Caenorhabditis elegans: one gene and its partner. The protein of the gene in region 2 interacts with the protein of the main gene of each other region in a pairwise test. Each region holds a gene or a part of one and is shown on either strand. Other genes may lie near its edges.

What was found.
Region 1: the proteins of mes-1 (region 2) and nep-2 interact in a two-hybrid assay, tested with the Caenorhabditis elegans proteins (one large-scale study listed by BioGRID).

What each region holds. Positions count from the first base shown.
Region 1 is NC_003280.10:2,723,709-2,727,460, forward strand, and holds the start of nep-2 (Neprilysin-2), read right to left. Parts: upstream 2,045-3,752; 5' UTR 1,954-2,044; coding exon of another isoform or gene 1,900-1,953; 5' UTR 1,834-1,899; coding exon 1,815-1,833; intron 1,578-1,814; coding exon 1,413-1,577; intron 1,092-1,412; coding exon 930-1,091; intron 876-929; coding exon 672-875; intron 519-671; coding exon 430-518; intron 381-429; coding exon 292-380; intron 1-291. UniProt on the Caenorhabditis elegans protein: Required for olfactory plasticity, which is the change from positive chemotaxis to dispersal after prolonged exposure to an odorant. Thought to antagonise snet-1 by degrading excess snet-1 peptides and thus enabling olfactory plasticity.
Region 2 is NC_003284.9:11,855,383-11,859,134, forward strand, and holds the start of mes-1 (Protein mes-1), read left to right. Parts: upstream 1-2,095; 5' UTR 2,096-2,118; coding exon 2,119-2,238; intron 2,239-2,296; coding exon 2,297-2,380; intron 2,381-2,434; coding exon 2,435-2,534; intron 2,535-2,588; coding exon 2,589-2,812; intron 2,813-3,026; coding exon 3,027-3,344; intron 3,345-3,412; coding exon 3,413-3,575; intron 3,576-3,622; coding exon 3,623-3,752. UniProt on the Caenorhabditis elegans protein: During early embryogenesis, controls asymmetric cell division and the asymmetric localization of P granules of germline precursor P2 and its descendant P3.

The DNA.
Region 1 (3,752 bases), on a different chromosome or scaffold from region 2:
GTTGCCCAAGTTTGTTATTTTCCAAAAATTGTTATCACCCAAGCTTTACCCAATTTTACTCCGCTTGCCCAAAATTTGCCCAAACTCGCTTATTTGTCAAAAAAATTTGCACGTTCTCTGCCCGTATTTTGCCGGTTTTTTGCCTTTTTTTTTGCTTGTTTTTTTGACTGTTTTTGCTTGTTTTCTGCCTGTTTTTTTTTCGCCTGTTTTACCTGTTTTGCCGGTTCTTACCCGTTGTTTGCCCGTTTCTTGCCTCTTTTTTGCCTCTTTTCACCCTTCCTACCCCCTTACCGTATCAACTGCAAGTACGCCATGCGCTCCTCGTTCTCGGCTGCCACGTAGAAATCCCGGGCGAATAGGTTAAGCTGTGGCTGATCAATCTGAAAATTTATAACTTTTTTAAAAGAATGAATTTCTGCTGAAAATTACCAGGAGGACGTGGCGCTGAGAATTTTTGTCGTCCGGTTGAACAGTCGCTTTAAATAGGCTATCTGCTTTGAATTTGGCCACCATGTCGGCTGAAAATTCCAGATTTTTGAGAGGCTTAAGCAAACGCGCTCCACCGAACTACGGAGATAGCAAGCGCGCTCCACTGAACTACGGAGATAACAAGCGCGCTCCACTGAACTACGGAGATAGCAAACGCGCCCCACTGAACTTCTTTCACTCACCGTACAACATCTCAATACTCGCATCGGGCTTCATCTGATGCCCGAGACTCGGCCATCCGCCGAAACTTTTCACCACCTCGTCGAACGTCGTCCGCCAGTTGTCCAGAATTTCCGACTCGTTCAGACACAAATTATAAAAATATTTGGCCTTCCCGACGGCAGATGTCTCGTAGTCATACGGCTCGTCGTTCTCGTCGAGAAGTTCTGAAAAAAGGGAATTTCTGGGTTGTCGAATAGTTGCCGAGAAAAAAAACAGACCTTTCAGCGCAAACTCGAGGTCCTGGCCGAGGTTCTCAAAATTTGAGACACTCGGCGCGTCGTCTGGTATCGGGTGTCCTTTGATCCATTGACCACAAGCGAATTCGTAGAAATCATCGCAGGGGTCGACGGAAGAGTTCATGGATGATAATATCACGGATGCTGGAATGAGGATAAGTATGGGTACTTCTATGGGACCTATGGCCCTTGCTAAGGATCATGTGGGTCGAGTAGGCATTTGCTATGGGACCTATGGACTGACTAGGATCCTTCAAAGAGGTAAGTATGGGTCTTTGGGGCCTACCCATGGAAACATCTGTGGGTTGGGCCTGTGGACAATTTGGGACTACTAGGACCTATTGATACCTATCCCACAAAACCACAGATCCCTCTATCTTTTTCTTCCCGGAACTCTTCCAAATTTGGAACTCATTACGCTCGCCCTAATGAACCCCAAATTAACTTCCCCCAAAAAAAACCCACCAGTTTTGATGCATCCCGGCGAAAGACAAACGTCTGAGCTGTCCTTATAGTTGATGTAGAAATAAATAGCGGCGCCTAAGACTAACAGGAATAAAATGAGCAATATCAGTGCGATGATGGCCCATATCCTCGTCCATCGCGATCCGGGGCTTTTTGTGGTGCCATCTGGAAGTAGGAAGATTTGTGGTGGACTGGGAAGTTTGAAACGAGAGAGGATCAGTAACTGTGCTCTACTGAACTATAAGCTTCAAATTTTGCTCCACTGGACTAGGGCCTCTACAATGGCGCTCTACAGGACTCCAGGCTCACTGTAAGGACGCTCCAAACAACTACAGGATCATTGAATTACTACTTTAGAAACTGCGCTCCACCGAACTGTGTAGCTATCGCGCTCTACCTCACCTTCCTCGTCGGGCCTCATATCGGGAGGCGTCCGACCGTTCTGCTCCGGCTGCTTCGCAATTTTGGCTCGACCGGGCTCCGAGAGTCAAATCCAAGTAAGTTCCAGAACTTTCCAAATTTTTCTCAGCCGTTTTTCCAGTGGTCCGCGACTTGTATTCAAGGCATGGATTCTTTCACCCTTTCAGTTTTTTTTCAGATGTTTTTTTTAGATGTTTTGGGGCTTTTTCCTTTCTCTCTGAAAATTTTAGGGAACAGTTGTTGCGGAAATACTTGACAAATTTGGGCGAAAAAAAAACTAACACTTTTAGGAAATGGGAAGGAAAACAACGCGCGGAAAATTGAAAGAAAAACGGAAGAAATATGAAGATTTATTAGAGGAGAAAGAGATGAATGTGTGAATGAGATTTTTGAAGCTGTGGGGTAAAGTGGGAGGACAAACAGACAAACAAACAGACAAACAAATTTTCAGAAAATTCAGAACGTTTGTAAAACTTTTTCTGGAAAATTTGAATTATTTAGCACCAGCTTAGCAATTGCTAATTAATTAAATAATTTTCAGCGGGAACTTGAAACTTCAATTAAATTTTTTTCGAGAAAAACAGGAAATTTTACAAAATTTTTCAATTTTCAAATTTTTGAATTAGTCAAAAATTTTAAATTGTTCCGGGAAATTTAAGAAATTTGGGAAGTTTTCAAGAAATGTTTTGGAATTTTTTTTTTCCAAACTTTCTGAAAACTCCAAAATATTTTTGGGTTTTGCAAAATCACGTGGTGTCAGGCTGTCCCATTTTGGTTTGATCTAGGTAGATCTACAAAAAATGCGGGAGAAGAGACGCAGAGTTCTCAACTGATTTTGCATGGTTAAGAACGCGCTGACGTCACATTTTTTGGATGCGAAAATTCCCGCATTTTTTGTAGATCAAACCGTAATGGGACAACCTGGCAACAATTTTTTTATCAATTATTTTCCAAATTTCCCAAAAAAAAAACAAAACTTTCAAATTTAGCTCCCAAAAAACCCGCCGCCGAAAAAAAAACCGAAAAACCAAAGCACCACTTAAAATATGATGAGGTCGTTTTTATAAACTTTGTGCAAGTGTCTGTGTTTTCTGTTACAAAAAAAAGAGCCCCCCGGAGCCGCTGTTGTAAACAATTGAGGAACACTGGGCGCGGCTTGGCACAGTGCCAAGTGGGAATCGGAATGGGCGGAGTCAGAAGTTATACAATTTTTTTAAAATCCTTTTTGGCGGTAAAAAAGCCCGTTTGGTATTTTTTTTGAATAACAAAATTGGGCGGGAAAATTTAAATTTCAAAAAAAAACTTGACGATTTTGGCTGAAATTTCAAATTTCAAATTTTAGGTAGAAAACAAATTCTAAAAAATTGTACAAAACCGGAAAAAGTGCTACGCGACATGTGTGTGTGCCTATCATCATCACATCACTCAAAATCAAAATATTTCGACTAGAGCTCCCGGAGCCACTTTGCGAAGAGCATCGTCCCTCAGCCAACTGTTCCCCCCATCGCAATCTACCCCAATTTTCGGCTTGAGCGTGTGTGATCAATCTTAAAAATGACGCACACGTGTCAAAATATATATAGGAGGGAAAAAAGTTTTTTTTGTGGAGAGTTGGGAGCAGGAAAAAAGAGCGAAGAATGTTGAATTTTTGATCGACGCGCCTGAAATTGGGATTTTGAAAAAAAAAATCGATGAGTCAGGTATCTGGAAAAAAATGGGGAAATTTCGTCAAGCTATTCGGCAAATTGAATTGAACAATTTTTTAAAGAGAAATTTGGATTTTTGAAAAATTGTTAGGGTATTTTATTTTCTCTCCAAAAATATACTCCTTAAAATTCCAAATTACCGCCAAAAAAAATATTTTTTATAAATTTTAAATTACCGCCAGTGATATATTTAGTAAACAATTTAATTTCCGCT
Region 2 (3,752 bases):
GTGTTAAAAATCGGCAAATAAGAAATATGACCATTTGATTACAATTATATGAAAAGAAGGAAAATTATATTTGCACAATATTGGAAGTATTTTGTCCCCTCATAAAATAACTACATTCCCATGAAATGGGGGTTGTATTAGATTTGTTTTTTTTTGCTAAAAAGCTCCTTGGTATAATTTCTGAGTTGCGGGAGTAATGGTAACGAGGCTGGTAGCAATAGTAATTGATATTTCAGAGAGGTCAATTGAGTAAACAAATGGAAAAAATTGTGTTTTAATTTGGGCTTGCAATGTGATAAGAAGCACAAAATATTGAGAAGACGAACTAAACAACGTAGTATATTTTCAGCCTTTGATAAAATTGTTAATCTCTCTAACATGTTCGTGTTTTAGCGTTCTGAACCTACAACCAAAATCTTCAAAATGTAAAAGTAATCAATTACAAAAAAAAAAATAAAATTCGACCAATGCGACACGAATTGGTAAAATTCTAGATTTATGATTAACTGCCTTTTTTCCAAATTTTTGAACAGCCATTAAACTTTAAAAAATTTTATGAGAATTCATATTACGATTTTTTTTCAAAATTACTTTTAAAAGCGCAGGTGTTATACAAAAGTACAAGCGTTTAAGCATGCGTAAAAAATTTGCAAAATAATCACATATACAAAAAATGAAACAACTTCTAATTCGTCCCAGCTAGATTTTCGAGTGAAAAAATCAATGACAGATAGAAAGTTGATCTATGTTTTGTTTACTTTTCAACACCAGAAAATGTATTCTGGTATGACTAATATCAAAATTTGCAACTGAATAGACAAAGATGAAAACTTTTCAACATCCAACAGTGGAGGCTTCCAATCACTTTGAGTGCACAACTGGAGAACTTCAAAAAATCTTTCAAAAAAGAGAACACTCCTGTTTCTATAGCATACTCTATTGGCGCAAAAAGAAAATTCCAAATCTCTACGAAGAAACTGGAGACGAATCTGGCCCATATTTCAACAACGCCTCTATGGGATGTCGTTTGCGACGACGGCGAAGAAGAGACGCTTGCATCTGCCACGTAGGGTTTGCATAAATCAAATTGAAACGGATTCGGTTGACACCCCAAAAATGATGAAAACGAAAAAAAGGGGAAACGAGAGTGGAGGTGACTGAAAAGCTCTCGATCTTCATCGTATCTCCATGACTCCATTCTTTCATAATCTGGAGTGGTGTTCGATATGTTGGTCAATATCTAGAAAAGAAACATATGTGACAGGCTAAAACAAATTTTCAGAAATTTCAAACAGCTAAAAACTAGGATTTTTGGAAACTTTGCTTTAATTACTGCTCAACTCAAATATTTCACTACATCTCACACTATGTATTTACGTTCATTTTCCCCATTTTTTTATTTTTCGAAGTTTTAATAAATTCTTTAAAATATTCGAGATTTTACTATAAGAATTTTATAATTTCGTCGTTCTGTAAGTCGTTTCAATAAGGTTTGTATTTTTTCTCCGTTTTTATTTTTTTTGGATATTTTCAAGGCTGTATATATAATACTGGGTGAGAAATTAGACGCAACTACGAAAAATATCATCAGAATAATTAGTCATCTCGACCTGATTGACAATTCTTTGAAATGAAAAATACTTTTTTTTCAGTTTCTAATAATATGTGACCCCTCTATGACCTACTCTCCAAACTCTTTGTTACCGCGATGCGTCATGCAATGATGCATGCGTCTCTTGTATTGTTTTGGACTCTTGTCGTCTATACTACACACGCACACACAGAGAGACCGTCTTCCTGAATGAAACTTGGCACAGTGCCCGCGCTGTTGTGATCACTGCGCAACATGGTCCTCTCCCTTCCTCCTCCTGCGTCTCTCGCAGTAGAGTGTTGTCTGCAAACCGTTCGATAATTCTTGCGGGGCAGAGTTTTTTGTTGTTTTCTGTTTTCAAATCTTCATTGTTTTCATCTTATCTGCTCGTTTCTTTTTTCATGATTGAAAACTGTTTATCGAAATAATATTTTGCAGCTTTGCAAAGTTGCAAACATGCTTCGTTTTTCCTCACAAATTCCGACAGAGCTTTCATTTACTTTCAGTTACCATCACCTGATGCCAGCATGAAAATTCATCACTTTCTCACACTTCTATGCACATTCCTTCCCTTAACCACCACTGCACTTACTAACTCAACTCCACTGTCACTATTAGGACCATGCTACAAGCGTTGTGTCACAAAAGTGAGTTTTTGAAATTATTTTTGGCTTTTTATCTTGTAATTTCATAATTTTATTTCAGTTTGGTGAAACCAAGGAACAACTCACAAATGCAGAAACCATTTCCCTCGAATACGATGTTTCGAATAACACGGAGTTTTCATTGGTTTGTTTCCTAATTTTGTTAGTTAACAAAAAAAATGATTTTAAAATATTTCAGTGCAAGCTGGGATGCAACAGCCACGAATACACCGATCTGAATCTGGCAGCTTTCCGCTACGGACAGCTGGCATACCAGAAAATCCTCACCACAGTCGAAGGTTTGGATTCACAGAAAAACAATTATTTATCTTATTAACCTAAACGTAATTTAGATGTACCAACCCGCGGAACTGTTCTGAATGATGTGTTCATTGTGTGTCTGGATACTTCATTTATGCCGTCCAACAACTCAGCACCGTCCGCCAAACGTCTTCTATCCGGCACAGTTCTTCTCGTTCTTGATGAAGATGTTGCCAAAGCGGATAATGTGTTTCTTATAGAAGTACTTGCTCGAAATGCAGACAAATCTGCTGTTCAGGTGATAAGCCAACAATGGGTGAGTATAAAAAAACAGCTGAGGTACCACACAGATGTAGGTATGTAGTCCTTACATGAGCATGAACAACCGATCAAAAACGTAGCATGAAAATAAATAATTCAACCGTTATTTAAAATTTTCGTGATATGCTCCAACATTTAAATTAACGTGTTTTTAAAAGTAATAATTTTTGCTTATTCCTATACCAGATAATATAAATATTCATTTCCAGTGCTACTCATCCAACTGCAATATCACCTTCAACGCTCCAACAGAAGTTTCTAGTTTTGACGTCCGTCTCCGCGTGTCCACGTTTGATAGCAATGGTCAAGTCGGCGGCATCAATTTTTCTAAATGGCACAATATCAATCAGATTCTGACAAAAACTTTTGTCGACATGTCGCTGAAATCGGTTGTATGGAAAGCTGAAAAGGCTGCCGCAAACTTTGTTTTCAATTTGACTGCAAGTGACCATGTTCCAGCTTGCTCTCTTCAAATGATCTATCGAAGTTCTCTCAGTTCAGAGCTTTTGCATAGAAACTTTTATTTGGTACGTTCAGTCATTTTTATTTTGAGTTGAAATCCGCACATCTTACTCAAACAAAAACATTTTTACAGGATCACACTCTTGAAGTTTTTGTCAACAACTTAGATTTCGACAAGATCTACACAATGCAACTTGCTCCTTCCGGTACCCACGATCGCTCAACACCTTCACTTGCATCGGCAGTTATTGAGATCCCGCCATGTAGACATTTAGTGGATGACTACAGTATGTGTGGTAAGAGTGAAACTTAGATAAATGTTTAAAAGTAATGTATTCTTCAGCACCGCCGCCTGTCTCATCACTAAGTTACAATTGGAACTTATCTCCTACTAGTGAATATGAGCTTCTTATTAAATGGAAGCTCTTGAATTACATGGACGGCCTGAACGTTACAGAAGAGCTCTCAATTCC